Linked DNA regions of Stegostoma tigrinum. The protein of the gene in region 2 purifies or fractionates together with the protein of the main gene of each other region. This does not show direct contact. Links are inferred from orthologs where the notes say so. Each region holds a gene or a part of one and is shown on either strand. Other genes may lie near its edges.

Region 1 (8,047 bases), on a different chromosome or scaffold from region 2:
GCATGAGAAAACATATCACCAAGGGGGCATTTACCAGCAAGCATCACAAGAGTAAAGCTGAGCCAGCAATCACTTATGGTCATGTGCTGCTCCACTGCATGCTTGAAATCCAAAGACATCAGACAGTGACACATGCCCATGTCTCCAAAATTGAAATCTATCCTTTCAGCAAATGCAAGTGATTCAAAGCCAACACTTTCCTGATGTTAAATCAACATCAAGGCTCAGAGTTGTCCAGGATTATTCTAACAGGTGCCATACCATCACAGCCGTGCACCTGTGAACTACACACTGGATGAGGATGGGGATGAGCGAGAGCAAGAGAGACTTCAATGACACTGCAAAGGTGTGACATAAATCCAAACAACAAACAAATTTCAAATCTACAATTAAGATGAAGGAATAAAGATACTCCTTCCAACAAAAGTCTTTGTTACAGGCTTTATGTAAAGGATGTGGCAACAGTGGGGGTGGTTGAATAGAAGGATGAGAAAATGATAAGAGATAATGGATTCTCCAGCATCTGCAGATCCCATGATAAAGTGTGAAGCTGGATGAACACAGCAAGCCATGCAGCATCTCAGGGGCACAAAAGCTGACGTTTCAGGCCCGAAACATCAGCTTTTGTGCTCTTGAGATGCTGCTTGGCCTGCTGTGTTCATCCAGCCTCACACTTTATTATCTGGGAAAATGATGTTTGGTTGGGGAGGGGGTGAGCAGGAGTGAGGAGAGCAGGGCACATGTGCAAGGGATGCCAGGGTACCTACAGAAGATAAACAGGGGGGGCAACAGGGAGCCGACAGAGGGGTAACATGAGAGACTGTAGATGATCAGGGAGACATACACAGAAACAACAGGGGATCAGAGGCATATGGGGGGGCAGGGTAGGGGATGCCAAGAGCAAGGGAACTGGGGATCGGTGGGCCAGGATTCATACGAAAGTGTTGGGGGGAGGGAGGAGAGAAGTGGAAGGCTAGGAGAAGCAGAGAGTACCCGGGGGCGGGGGGTCGTCACCCTCCGACCCCTTTCCCCGCTTCTTCATCACCACCACCATCCCCATCACTCGGGCCCACCCCAAGCCACTCACTCACCCCGTGTGCCGGCTCCGACTCCCCTAAAGCCGCTCTCCGCCTCTCATCGCCAGGGGATCGCCTGCGCTGCGTCGCCGCACCAACCTCACTCGGACAGGGGGCAGGCTTTTTGTGTTCTCTCTCTCTCCCCCGTCCGCAACGTAAACCCGGTGCAAACGTTGGCAGCGGTGGGGCCTGGGGGAACGCTGCAGGGATTCCTATTTACACCTGGCTAGAGTGGATGGTGGAAACCATCGTGCGACAGCCCGAAGCCGGCGGGACGACGCGACACTAAGAGCCGCAGCCTCAATCTCCATCCCGCCCCAGGAGCCTCGCCTTTGCCCAGGCCATAAGCAGGGGGCGGGGAATATCACTTGACAACGGAAATGACGCACGGCCCATCGCCGGGACCTCCCGCGCCCTGCCTTGATGAACAGACGGCAAGCAGCAGCTCACAGCCAATCGCAAACCGATACTCATACTGGGGCGGGGCTAGCCTGGATGCCAGCTCATTCCGTCGCTGTCCATCATCGCGATTGACAGCCCTATCTACCAATCAGAGCCGACACTGAAGAAAGGCACGCGGCCTCCCTGGAAGAGGTGTCCAGTGCTTTCACAACATAATTTTGCAGCATGAACCATAATCGTTAGGTTTTAAATCTTAAATGCATTCATTTATCTGCAGGTGCAACATTTCAAAGTTTAAAACCATCGCATCCATCACCCTTGGGACCTTGCTGATAGTGCAAGCAGGTTGTTTCAGCAAGGTGGAAGATGTCATTTGACAGTAGTGCTTTCAGTGGAACCTGAATGTTGACCGAATTAATTGCACCTCTTACTGCATTAGACTCTGCAGCTGCAAGAGTTATTGTTGGGGGCAAAAAAAAATTCGGCTGCATCAGCAGAACTTTGGAAGTTTTGCAGCGTGAGCCTATCAGCTTGCCGCTCTGCTTTAAATCAAAGTCAGGACCTTTAATCCAGCATAATTTAATTTTTATTGCCCGGATCACTGACATTGCCAACTGATTAAAAACATGTGCCTTCGCAAGTGCCACTTCTCGACTTTACTTGTGATTAAACAACGACAGCCAAGTTACTATATGTTTGTGAAACACTGCTTTTACAATGGAGGCGACTTCTCGACAACCTGTCACAGAAAAATATCTTCCAGAGGAACAGGAAGAGCCCACACATAGTATTACTTGACAAATCCACGTACATCCCAAACCTGAGGAACGGTAACTCGACCCGAAACGTTAACTCTGATTTCTCTCCAGAGATGCTGCCAGACAGAGATTTTACAGCAATTTCTATTTTTGTCTCTACATCCCAATCCCCCTTTTCAAAAAAAAAGTAAAGCACCGTAAATTTTCTTGACATCATAACTGAAATCAAATCCTTGCGTTAACCAGCAAGTGCTGGGAGAGGATAAAATTGAAAACACATGGCTTTGATCGACACTAGACCAGAAAGTCAGTATTTCCAATTACTCCTGAGAGCTCAAAAAGCCTTGCAATTTATAAATAAATCATGCCGAATTTAGAGACGGCGGTGATATTTACAGACTAGTCAAATTTCCCCCCTCCCACACAGCCCGATGTAAGGTGAAACAGTTTTGCTGTACGTACCATCGCAGTCTCTCCTCCCGCCAGCTATATTAGGTACAAAACTCAGTCAAATCTTGAATAGCCGTTCCAATCAGACTGCTGTCGCTGACCCCCGCATTCTGAAGTAGCTGGAAGGTCGCAGAGCTATTTTTTTCGTCGAATGAATCCGATCACATTTCCTCTCTTTAAAAAAAAGGTCCTCCCCTTCCCTGCTGCTACAATTGCTTCCTTCTCCCAGGTAGGTGCAAAGCGCAGACACAGACAGGCAGGTTAGAGCCAACCAACAGACCATTTGCCCTCTGAGCAAATTAATAACTGTGCGCAGCTCCAGCCAATCCAATCACCTCTGATATCATAAACCGTGCCCTCTTGCTGAAGCAGATATATCAAATCTCTCGCCATTCGATAAAACAGGAGTTTAATAAAGGAAACATGTTTGGACTTTAAAACAGGCTGTGACAGCATGAAGATACAGCCGAGAGGAGAGGTGTGCCAACGCATTTAACAGCAAAACGTCAAAAGTGCAGATTCGTCTCAAATGTGAATAGCGGTTAAAAAAAAACTGGGAGGACTGAGTCACAAATGGTTGTGACTATCAATCATTCTTGAGAAGGCGCTGCCATTAGCCAAACTGAGGTGCGTGCAGTAACTGAAAAGGAATCTGCATTTATATGTTACCCTTAATATGGTCAAATATACCCAGGTGCTTCACAGGAGTGTTATCAGTTAAAATTGAGAGCTGAACGGACTCGGTGGGCCAAATGGCCTCAATTCTGTGACATAATCCTGTTCCGATCCTATGATTGGCCTGCAATAAGGACAGGCAACAAAAAGCTTCACAGACCAGACCAACTACAGGGGTCAACTTTATGCAGCATCTAAATAGAGGAGAGAGAGGTTGAGAGTCGTGTTCAGAGTATGGGTAGAGGCAGCTGAAGGTATGGCCATCACTGGCGACTTGATAGAACATGTAAGGGGCTAACATTTGAGGGAAGTTATAAGCTGGAAGCAGGACAGAATAAAAGCAACTTTTAAATAGTCCTTTAAATACAGGAGATAACAGTAAAGCACGAAAAGAAACAGGACTCAGCATTTCAGCCTCTTAAACCTGCAATGAATGTCATTAAATTAGATCAAGCTCATCTCAGAATCACAGCATTATTATAGTGGAAAATGAAGCTGTTTGGCCCATTGTGTCTGTACTGGTTCTATTACCAAATGCCAATCTGCTGCCTTTTCTGTAGCTCTGTACACCATTTCTATCCAAATTACCATCCACTGCCCTTGTGAATGCCTCAATTTGTATTTTTGCTGAATTTAACTTCCTTACACATGCTTATTGAATAAAAATAACCACTGTTAACATTTTAAATTCACATCATGTCGGTACTGTCAATCTGATAGAAATGTTAGATTTTTCAGTACCCTTTCGGGTTCTGAAGACGGGTCACTGGACCTGAAACATTAACTTTGCTTTCTTTCCACAGATGCTGCCAGATCTCCTGAGATTTTTCAGCAACTTCTGCTTTCTGAATACTCTGCTCCCCACCATTTCCAAGATAAATATATCCTTCCTGAAATAATATTTGGAGTACACAAGGCACTTCTTAAGACCTTTCCTGCTGCATATGCTTTTTAACATCTGACAAAAGGTCATTGTGGGGAAGTCTGAGCTTGTGCACTTTGGCAGGAAGAACAGAGGAACAGAGGAGCTGAATATTACTTAAATGGAAAAGGGCTACAGAAGGCTGCAGCACAGAGAGATTTTGAAGTCCGCATGCATAAATCTCAAAAAGCTGACGGGGAAGGCAACTGGAATGTTGGCTTTTATTTCAAAGACAATGGAGTTCAAAATATGGAAGTCTTGCTAAAACTGTTCAGGGCTCTAGTTAGGCCACACCTGCAATATTGTGAACAGTTTTGGACCCCACATCTAAGGAATGCTGCACTCTGTAGCTTTGAGTGATTTATGCAGAAGGACTTTCAAATCCCTCTGTGCTACAGCTTTTGGCAGCCTTTTTCCATTTAAATCATATTCAGCTCCTCTATTCCTCTGTTCTTCCTGCCAAAGTACATAAAATCACATTTCCCCATGCTGACCTTTGGTCAGAAGATATTAAAGATACACCAGCATTGGATGCAGTCTGGAGAAGACTCTCTAAGTTGATTCTGGATATGAAGGGATTGTCTTGTGAGGAGATTTTGAGTAGGTTTGTAGTCCTTGGCATTTAGAAGAATGAGAGGTGTCCTTATTGAAACATGCAAGGTTCTTCGGCAACTTGTCAGGGTGGATGCAAAGAGATTGTTTTCCTTGTGGGAGATTCAAGGATCAGATGGCGAAATCTCAGGGTAAAGGGTTGCCTGGTTATGACAGAGATGAGGAGGAAGTTTTTCTCTCGGAGAATAGTGAACATGTGGAATTCTTTGTTGCAGAGGTCTGTAGAGTCTGGGTCACTCAGTATATTCATGGCTGAGAAAGGCAGACCTTTAAGCAGTAAGTGAATCATGGGTTAAGGGAAAAAGGCAGGAAAGTGGAACTGATGGTTGTCCAATCAGCCATGGTCTCACTGAATGGTGGATCAGATGCAGAAGGCCAAATGGCTTGCTTCTGCTTCTATGCCTTGTGGTCTAATGTACCTCTGTTTCTCTCTCTACAGGTTCTAACAGACCTGCTGAGTAGAACATAGAAGATAGGAGCAGCAGTCGGCCATTCTACCCCTCAAGTATGCTCTGCCATTCATTATGATCATAGCTGATCATGAGCTCAACACCCTAATCCCACCTTCCTACTCAATATCCATTGACCCCTTCGGCCACAAGAGCCATTTCTACATCCTTCTTGAAAACACATAATTTTTTCAGCCTCAATCACAGGCTCACCACTCTCTGAGTTTAGAAATTTCTCCTTAACAATCTTCCAATATCCATAAACTATGACCCCTGCTTCTGGACCACCCCCCCCCCCCCCCCCCCCACCATAAGAGACATCCTTCCTGTTCTAGTCTGTCTAGTACTGTTAGAATTTTATGGGTTTCTGTGAATATCCAACCTCATTAAGGGGAGGTGATGGCTTAGTGGTGTTATCACCAAGCTATTAAACTCATGTTCTGGGTACCTGGGTCTGAGTGAAACCGTTGTCATTTGTTGGACAACCATTTGATTCAATAATGTCGTTCAGGGAAACAAATCTGTCATCTTCACCTGGTCTGGCTTGTGTGTGACTTCAGCAGCATAGTTGACTCTCAGCTGCCCTCTGAAATGGCCTAGTAAGCCACTCCGTTCTATCAAACACAGCAACGTCTCAACAAAGAAATAAAATTGGATGGACAACCTGACATCAACCTAGACATGAGAAAAGACAACAGCAGAAACAGGATTTGAGCCCAAAAGGTCCTCCTTACTAACATCCTGGGGCTAGTGCCAAAATTGGGAAAACTGCAACAGCCTAATATATCCATACTCATGGACTCATAACTTACAATGTCCCTGACACCACCATTACCATCCATGGATATGCCCTGTCCCACTTGTAGGACAGACCCCAGCAGAGATGGCAGCACAGTGGGATATAGTCGGAAGGGAGTTGCCCTGGAGTTCTCAACAAGTCTCATAGCTTCAGGTTAAACATGGATAAGGAAACCTCCTGCTGATATCATGTATCACTTGATTTGATTTGATTTATTGCATTCACTGTACCTCAGGACAGTGAAAAGTTTTGTTTTGCAAGCAGTACAGACAGGTCATAGCAAACAAGGACATATAGATCATAGGTTGCTTAGACAGAGCGAGACATACAGGTTACGACTGCCTCCTTTGGCTGGTGAATCAGTGTTTCTCCATGTTGAACAATTCATGGAGGAAGCACCGAGGGCACAAAATATACTCTGGGTGAGGAATTCCAATGTCTTCCACAGAATGTGGCTCTACTGATCAAGCTGTATGGGTCCTAAAGGACATAGCTGTTAGTCTGGGTCTGTGGCAGGTGGTGAGGGAGCCAGGAGGGACAAACGTACTTGATCTCATCCTCACAAATCTGCTGGCTGCAGATGTATCTGTCCATGAGCATATCGGTGAGTGACCACCACACAGTCCCCGTGGAGACAAAGTCCTACCATACCACTGAGATTATCCTCCATAATGCCATTAGGGAGGCAATTCCAGGATTTTGAACCAGCAGCAGTGAAGGAACTGCATCATATTTCCAAGTCAGGATGTTGAGTGACTTGGAGGTTGCAGCTTTTTAAGATGGCAGCTCACCATCATCTTCTCAAGGACAACTAGGGATAGGCAATAAATGCCAGTGTGCCCACATTCCATAAGTGAATATAAAAAAATCGTCTGAACTCCAGTGAATACAATCCTAACTTAATTGCTCCTCATGTGTCAGTCCTGCCATCCCAGGAATCAACTTCGTAAACCTTCAGTGCATACTGTCGAAAGCAAGAATCTCCTTCCTCAGATAAGGAGACCAAAACTGCACATAATATTCCAGGTGTGGCCTTGCCAAAGCCCTGTATAATTGCTAACATAGACGTTACCTTCCTTACTGCCTGCACACTTACTTTCAATGACTGATGCAAGAGGACATCCGAGTCTTGTCGAACATTCCCCTCTCTCAATTTATAACCATTCAAATAATAATCTGCCTTCTATTTTTGCTACCAACCTCACATTTATGATACAGCACCTGCCATACATTTGCCCACTCAGTCAGCCTGTCCAAATCACATTGAAACATCTCTGCATCATCTTCACAGTTCACCTTTCCACCCAGCTTTGTCTCATCTGCAAATTTAGAGATATTACATTTAGTTCCATCATCTAAATCATTAACATATATTGTGCATAGGTGGGGTCCTCGTACTGAACCCTGTGCTACCCCACTAGTCACTACCTGTTATTCAGAAAAAGACCCATAAATTCCTATTCTTTCCAGTCTGCTAACCAATTTTCGAACCTCTCAATACACTAATCCCAATTCAATACACCTTACTTTTACACTTTAGTCTCTTATGTGGGATTTTGTCAAAAGTCTTCTGAGAGTCCAAAAGCATCACATCCATTAGCTCCCCATGATAAACTCTGCTAGTTACGTTGTTGAAGAATTCAGGTAGATTTGTTTAGCATTATTTCCCTTTTATAAATCCACACTAACTGTGTCCGATTCTACCACTATCTTATAGGGGCTCTGCTATAAAATCCTTGATAATGCAGTCTTCCCCACAATCCATATTAGACTACTGGTCTTTAATTCCCTGTTTTCTTTCTATCTCTGTTTTAAATAGTGAGATTACATTCACTACCCTCCAGTCTGTAGGAAATGTTCCAGAGTCTAAAGAATCTTGGGATGACCACCAATACATCCATTAT
Region 2 (7,205 bases):
CCTCCTGATTTCCCTATTAAGTATATCCTACTGCCTTTACATTCTTCTAGGGATTCACTTGATCCCTGCTGTCTATACCTGATGTTTCCTTATTTTTCTTGACCAAAAACTCAATTTCTCCAGTCATCCAGCATTCCCTACGTCTACCCGCCTTGCCCTTCACCCTAACAGGAACATACTGTCTCTGGACCCTTGTTACCTCATTTTTTAATGATTCCCATTTTCGAACAATCCCTTTACCTGCAGACGTCTACCCCCAATCAACAATGAATTCACATCAGCCTTTCCTGGACCACTCTCCTAAACCGTCTAAATCTTTCTGCAACTTCCCCACCTCCTCAGTGCTACCTGCCTGTCCACCTATCTTCGTATCATCGGCAAACTTCGCCAGAAAGCCCCCAGACCCTTCATCCAGATCATTAATATATAAGGCGAACAGCTGCGGCCCCAATACTGAATCCCGCGGGACACCACTCGTCACCAGTTGCCATTCCGAAAAACCTTTTATCCCAACTCTTTGCCTTCTGTCAGACAGCCAACCCTCAATCCATGCCAGTAGCTCACCTTGAACACCATGGGCCCTCACCTTGCTCAGCAGCCTCCTGTGAGGCACCTTATCAAAGGCCTTTTGGAAGTCTAGATAGATAACATCCACTGGGTTTCCCTGGTCTAACATACTTCTTACCTCTTCAAAGAATTCTAACAGGTTTGTCAGGCTGATTAGCCTAACCTCAGTTGTTGGTAAAATTCTAGAGTCCTTGCCTAACACCATCAAATACCAAATGTTCTGCTATTACTTTCTAAATAATTGATACCATTAGTTTTCCAACAATAGATGTTAGGATAATCAGCCTATGGTTACCTGCTTTTTGCATCCCTCCCTTTTTGAATCGTGAGTGTCACCTGGCAGTTTTCCAATCCTGTGGTACTTCATCAGAATCCAGCAATCTGTGCCCTTTTGTGCTTTCTTCTTTTACAGGTGACAACAGCTTCTCCTTATCTACTCTACCTGTGATTTTGAAAACTTAACAATCCCAATTTCTTCAATCTATCTTATCAGTGAAGTTTCTCATTCCTGGAACCATTCTTCTGCTTTCCTTCTACATTCTGTGTTTGTACCTGAATAGATACTTTGGATCTGCCTTCACTCAGGAAGACACAAGCAATCTCCCAGATACAATAGTGGCTGAAGGACCTAGGGTAATGGATGAAGTGAAGGGAATTTATATTTGGCTGGAAATGGTGTTGGACAGACTGTTTGTTCTGAAGGCTGATAAGTCCCCTGGACCTGATGGTCTGCATCCCAGGGTACTTAAGGAGGTGACTCTAGAAATTGTGGACGCGTTGGTAATCATTTTCCAATGTTCAAGAGATTCAGGATCAGTTCCTGGGGATTGGAGAGTGGCTAATGTTGTCCCACTTTTCAGGAAAGGAGGGAGAGAGAAAACAGGGAATTATAAACTGGTTAGCCTGACATCAGTGGTGGGAAAGATGCTGGAGTCAATTATAAAAGATGAAATTACGACTCATTTGGATAGCAGTAACAGGATAGGTCAGAGTCAGCATGGATTTACAAAGGGAAAATCGTGCTTGACCTGCAGTATTGTATGCAGTTTTGGTCTCCAAATTTGAGGAAGGACATTCTTGCTATTGAGGGAGTGCAGCGTATGTTCACGAGGTCAATTCCTGGAATGGCAGGGCTATCATATGTTGAAAGATTGGAGCGACTGGGCTTGTATACACTTGAACTTATAAGGATGAGAGGGGATCTGATTGAGACATATAAGATTATTAAGGGATTGGACACTCTGGAGGCAGGATGCATGTTTCCGCTGATGTGTGAGTCCAGAACCAGAGGACACAGTTTAAAAATAAGGGGTAGGCCATTTAGAACAGAGTTGAGGAAAAACTTCTTCACCCAGAGAGTGGTGGATATATGGAATGCTCTGCCCCAGAAGGCAGTGGAGGCCAAAGTCTCTGGATGCTTTTAAGAAAGAGATGGACAGAGCTCTTAAAGATAGTGGAATCAAGGGTTTTGGGGATAAGGCAGGAACAGGATATTGATTGTGGATGATCAACCATGATCATAATGAATGGTGGCGCTGGCTTGAAGGGCTGAATGGCCTACTCCTGCACCTATTGTCTGTTATTCATGTCTCTCCCTGACCCTTTATAATGTAGCCCCACATTCATGGGGGATTCAGCGGTGACATTGCCATTGACTGCCATGGAGCAATGGTTGTATTCTCTCTGGCCATTGCCTGGATGAGAATATTATTTTCCACTTTACAGCCCAGCCTTGATATTGTCCATGTTTTGCTGCATGGACGTCTTCAGTATCCGAGGAACTGTAAATATATCAAAATGTTGTTTAATTTTCAAAGAATATTTCTTCAACATAGGTTCAATCTTAAAATTATTTGCATTTTTATTTTCAAATCCATCCTTGACTTCTCAAATCCATCTCCCCATCCAGCCCTCACAGTCTCCTCCAGCTGCACAATGTCTGCAGATCTCAAAACTGAACTTACACAACCTCAGTCAGTGATTGGGCCTTCAGAAAGCTGGACATTAAGTCTGGAATTCTATCCCTAAATGTTACCATCTCTCCATCCTCCTTTAAGATGGTCCTCAAAATGATGCTCGCTGACCAAGCTTTGGACATCTGCCTGAATAATTCCTGTGTGTGAATGTTGCTATAAAAGATGCTGTCAAAGTTTCTTTTTTCGAACATCAGGACAGGGACAAGAGTAACAAATTTCAGAGGAAATAATTTATACTGCATGAAAAGGTGTGCTGATTCTTCGACCTCTGGACTTCAATTGGTTGAGGTGTCAAGCATAGACAACAGGGATAACAAAGTGTGGAGCTGGATGAACACAATCGGCCAAGCTGCATCTTAGGAGCGCAAACCTGACCCTTATGCTGTGATAATGGGAACTGCAGATGCTGGAGAATTCCAAGATAATAAAATGTGAGGCTGGATGAACACAGCAGGCCAAGCAGCATCTCAGGAGCACAAAAGCTGACGTTTCGGGCCTAGACCCTTCATCCTCTCTGATGAAGGGTCTAGGCCCGAAACGTCAGCTTTTGTGCTCCTGAGATGCTGCTGGGCCTGCTGTGTTCATCCAGCCTCACATTTTATTATCCTGACCCTTACTTATGCTGTTGTTATTTCAAATAAGGCACAGTGCTTTTTTTTTTCTGCAGGGACAGCTCCCTGTGTTTATACCTACTTTGACAACACTACCAGCCCTCGGAGAGAATCGCAAGGTTTCACAAACCGCACATTATCCTGGTTTGGAAATATATCGGCATTCCTTGACTGTCACTGGGTCAAAGTCCTGGGATGCCCTCCCAGCATTCTGAATGTACCAACAGCACGCAGACTGCAGCAATTCAAGAAGCCAGCAGCTCCTACTCCAAGCTCGCGGCATCCACATCCTGTGGATGCATGAAAACTGATCTGGAGCAAAGATATCGTTCCGTACAAGGCAGGCAGCTTACACCGCGCATTTCTCACACTTTGCATACAGGCAGTTGAGAATAAGTTATAAATATTCGGATGGGACAGGGTGACGAAGCCGGGTTAAATGTGAGGACAGGGCATACAAACAGAGAGATGTGGCACTGAGGCAGAATGCTGGCTGGCTGCAATTCCCAGCTACAGAGGCGGCATCAGTTTTCTTTCTGCTCCTGCCCAGCTGGTTGTTGTTGTTGTTGTTTTGCAGTGTCCCTGCTGGCAGCCTGGGATCTTGCTGTGCCGCCGGCTCTCTCTCACTCCCCCTCCCTCCGCGCATCCCGCTTTCCGGACCTCACTCCAAATAAGGGCATCTACGTCAGTAGGTTCCCGGTGCTGGGCCGCACCAATTCGGCGTGGGTTGGGTGAACTGACAAGACCAAGCGAAACCGGCAGTTCCCGAGGCTCAGGCGGCCGTTGACTGAGAAATGGAGCTGATTTAGACTCCCGCTACTTCTGACCGTCCGGAACCTCTCTGTCCTGTCTCTCTAGTGTTTGTAGTGTCTGCATGGACGACTCTGCCCCCCCTATTCACCTATGCATGATGGAGCCGTCCAGGTGCGTCATTCGCCGCAAATCCAATAAAAGGCGATGGGTCCGAGCCTGACACAGCAAACCCTCCGGAGAGAGACAGCGAACAGCACCGGGACGGAAAGGCAGATAGCGCGGACACAGGCAGCCCGGAGACCCGGCACAATGTTCCAGGCTTTCAGCACCGACTACGACTCCGCTTCCCGCTGCAGCAACTCGCCGTCCATTGGCGATCCGTTCTATTTCTCACCCGCAGACTCCTTCTCCAGCCTGGGCAGCCCGGCCCACGTCTCGGTAAGTGACCGAGAGATTAGATGGGGCTGGGGTAAACACTGATGCTGGGGGGCAGGGGGTGCTGGGGTAAACACTGGAGGGGTAAACACCCACGCTGGGGGGGGTTGGTGGGGTGAACACTGACGGTGGGGGGTGAACACTGACGGCGGGGGGGTTGGTGGGGTTGACGCTGTGGGGGTGGCGGGGTAAACACTGACGCTGGGGGGTTGGTGGGGTAGCGGGGTAGACACTGACGCTGGGGGGTTGGTGGGGTAGCGGGGTAGACACTGACGCTGGGGGGTTGGTGGGGTAGCGGGGTAGACACTGACGCTGGGGGGTTGGTGGGGTAGCGGGGTAGACACTGACGCTGGGGGGTTGGTGGGGTAGCGGGGTAGACACTGACGCTGGGGGGTTGGTGGGGTAGCGGGGTAGACACTGACGCTGGGGGGTTGGTGGGGTAGCGGGGTAGACACTGACGCTGGGGGGTTGGTGGGGTAGCGGGGTAGACACTGACGCTGGGGGGTTGGTGGGGTAGCGGGGTAGACACTGACGCTGGGGGGTTGGTGGGGTAGCGGGGTAGACACTGACGCTGGGGGGTTGGTGGGGTAGCGGGGTAGACACTGACGCTGGGGGGTTGGTGGGGTAGCGGGGTAGACACTGACGCTGGGGGGTTGGTGGGGTAGCGGGGTAGACACTGACGCTGGGGGGTTGGTGGGGTAGCGGGGTAGACACTGACGCTGGGGGGTTGGTGGGGTAGCGGGGTAGACACTGACGCTGGGGGGTTGGTGGGGTAGCGGGGTAGACACTGACGCTGGGGGGGGGGGTTGGCGGGGTAGGGTAGACGCTGACGCTGGGGGGGGGGGTTGGCGGGGTAGGGTAGACGCTGACGCTGGGGGGGGGGTTGGCGGGGTAGGGTAGACGCTGACGCTGGGGGGGGGGGTTGGCGGGGTAGGGTAGACGCTGACGCTGGGGGGGGGGGTTGGCGGGGTAGGGTAGACGCTGACGCTGGGGGGGGGGGTTGGCGGGGTAGGGTAGACGCTGACGCTGGGGGGGGGGGTTGGCGGGGTAGGGTAGACGCTGACGCTGGGGGGGGGGGTTGGCGGGGTAGGGCTGACGCTGGGGGGGGGGGTTGGCGGGGTAGGGTAGACGCTGACGCTGGGGGGGGGTTGGCGGGGTAGGGTAGACGCTGACGCTGGGGGGGGGGTTGGCGGGGTAAACACGGATCGGTGGGGGGTTGGCGGGGTAAACACGGATCGGGGGGGGTATGTATTTTGTCCCGCGGTGGGAGGGCTGTGCTCTCTCTGGTTCCGGGAGAATCCACGTAAAGTGTGACGTCTGGGGCTGGTGATGCGCTCGCTCTGAACCAATCAGCGCCGCTTTATTAATAAACCCCGTGACGTCAACTCCATTCACAAAAACAATCTTGGCCCCGAGGTGGGGAGGGGGGGTATCCCCGCACGGGGGGGGGGGGCGCCTGAGTGTGTGTGTGTGTGTGTGTGTGTGTGTCTCTCTCTCTGTCCCCCTTGGGGGGGGGGGGGTGTGTGTGTGTCTCTCTCTCTCTCTGTCCCCCTTGGGGGGGGGGGGGTGTGTGTGTGTGTCTCTCTCTCTGTCCCCCTTGGGGGGGGGGTGTGTGTGTGTGTGTCTCTCTCTCTGTCCCCCTTGGGGGGGGGGTGTGTGTGTGTGTGTCTCTCTCTCTGTCCCCCTTGGGGGGGGGGGTGTGTGTGTGTGTCTCTCTCTCTGTCCCCCTTGGGGGGGGGGTGTGTGTGTGTGTGTGTCTCTCTCTCTGTCCCCCTTGGGGGGGGGGGTGTGTGTGTGTGTGTCTCTCTCTCTGTCCCCCTTGGGGGGGGGGGGGGTGTGTGTGTGTCTCTCTCTCTCTGTCCCCCTTGGGGGGGGGGGGTGTGTGTGTGTCTCTCTCTCTCTCTGTCCCCCTTGGGGGGGGGGGGGTGTGTGTGTGTCTCTCTCTCTCTCTGTCCCCCTTGGGGGGGGGGGTGTGTGTGTGTGTGTCTCTCTCTCTGTCCCCCTTGGGGGGGGGGGTGTGTGTGTGTCTCTCTCTCTCTCTGTCCCCCTTGGGGGGGGGGGGTGTGTGTGTGTGTCTCTCTCTCTCTGTCGCCCTTGGGGGGGGGGGGTGTGTGTGTGTGTCTCTCTCTCTCTGTCGCCCTTGGGGGGGGGGGGGGTGTGTGTGTGTCTCTCTCTCTCTGTCCCCCTGGGGGGGGGTGAAGTCTGTCTGTGTCCCGGCCTCTGTCTCATGTGTTTCTCTTTCTCTCTGCAGGACCCTGGCTCCGAGCTCGCCCCCAGTCTGACGGCCCTGAGCCGCCGGCCCGAGCTGCAGTGGATGGTGCAGCCCACCCTGAGCCCCCGGCCCAGGCACGAGTACAGCCTCGGAGCCCCGTACAGGGCACGGGCCGCCAGCAGCAAATGCCCCGGCCGCAGGGGCAAGACTGACCAGGTGAGGCCGGCTCCAAGGAGGGGGCTTTGCGGGGCGGGAAGCGTGGTACTGCCCCTGACGTGGGGGGGCACTGTACCTGCCGTTCAGCTGGGGGTGGGGGGGGGGGGGCAATCCGGAGGGATGCAGGCTCGGCTGGAGCGGTGGGGGATAATGTTTGCTGCGGTCTATGAAACAGGGTCTCACCGCCCGCCCCCTCTCTCTCTCTCTCTCTCTCTCCCCACTTTGCAGCTGAGCCCCGAGGATGAGGAGAAGCGCAAGGTCCGGAGGGAGCGGAACAAACTGGCTGCAGCTAAATGCCGGAACCGGAGGAGGGAGCTGACCGACAGCCTGCAGACGGTGAGTGCGGCTCCGGGACCGTGGGGGGGGGGGGGTAGTGCCGGTTATGGGGGTGGGGGGAGTCGAATCATAGAATCCCAACGGTGCGGAAAGTGGCCG

Evidence for each region. The genes of interacting proteins can lie anywhere in the genome.
Region 1: the proteins of protein c-Fos-like (region 2) and stk40 purify together in Homo sapiens (affinity purification with mass spectrometry; 3 studies listed by BioGRID and IntAct, counting the BioPlex papers as one, with this or other methods). This does not show direct contact. The link is inferred for Stegostoma tigrinum from reciprocal best matches to the Homo sapiens genes FOS and STK40.

The regions. Positions count from the first base shown.
Region 1 is NC_081377.1:7,207,350-7,215,396, forward strand, and holds the start of stk40 (serine/threonine-protein kinase 40), read right to left. Parts: upstream 3,070-8,047; 5' UTR 2,702-3,069; coding exon 2,699-2,701; intron 1,439-2,698; exon of another isoform or gene 1,092-1,438; intron 1-1,091. UniProt on the Homo sapiens protein: May be a negative regulator of NF-kappa-B and p53-mediated gene transcription.
Region 2 is NC_081363.1:1,206,003-1,213,207, reverse strand, and holds the start of protein c-Fos-like, read left to right. Parts: upstream 1-4,144; 5' UTR 4,145-4,216; coding exon 4,217-4,345; intron 4,346-6,593; coding exon 6,594-6,770; intron 6,771-6,998; coding exon 6,999-7,106; intron 7,107-7,205. UniProt on the Homo sapiens protein: Nuclear phosphoprotein which forms a tight but non-covalently linked complex with the JUN/AP-1 transcription factor. In the heterodimer, FOS and JUN/AP-1 basic regions each seems to interact with symmetrical DNA half sites.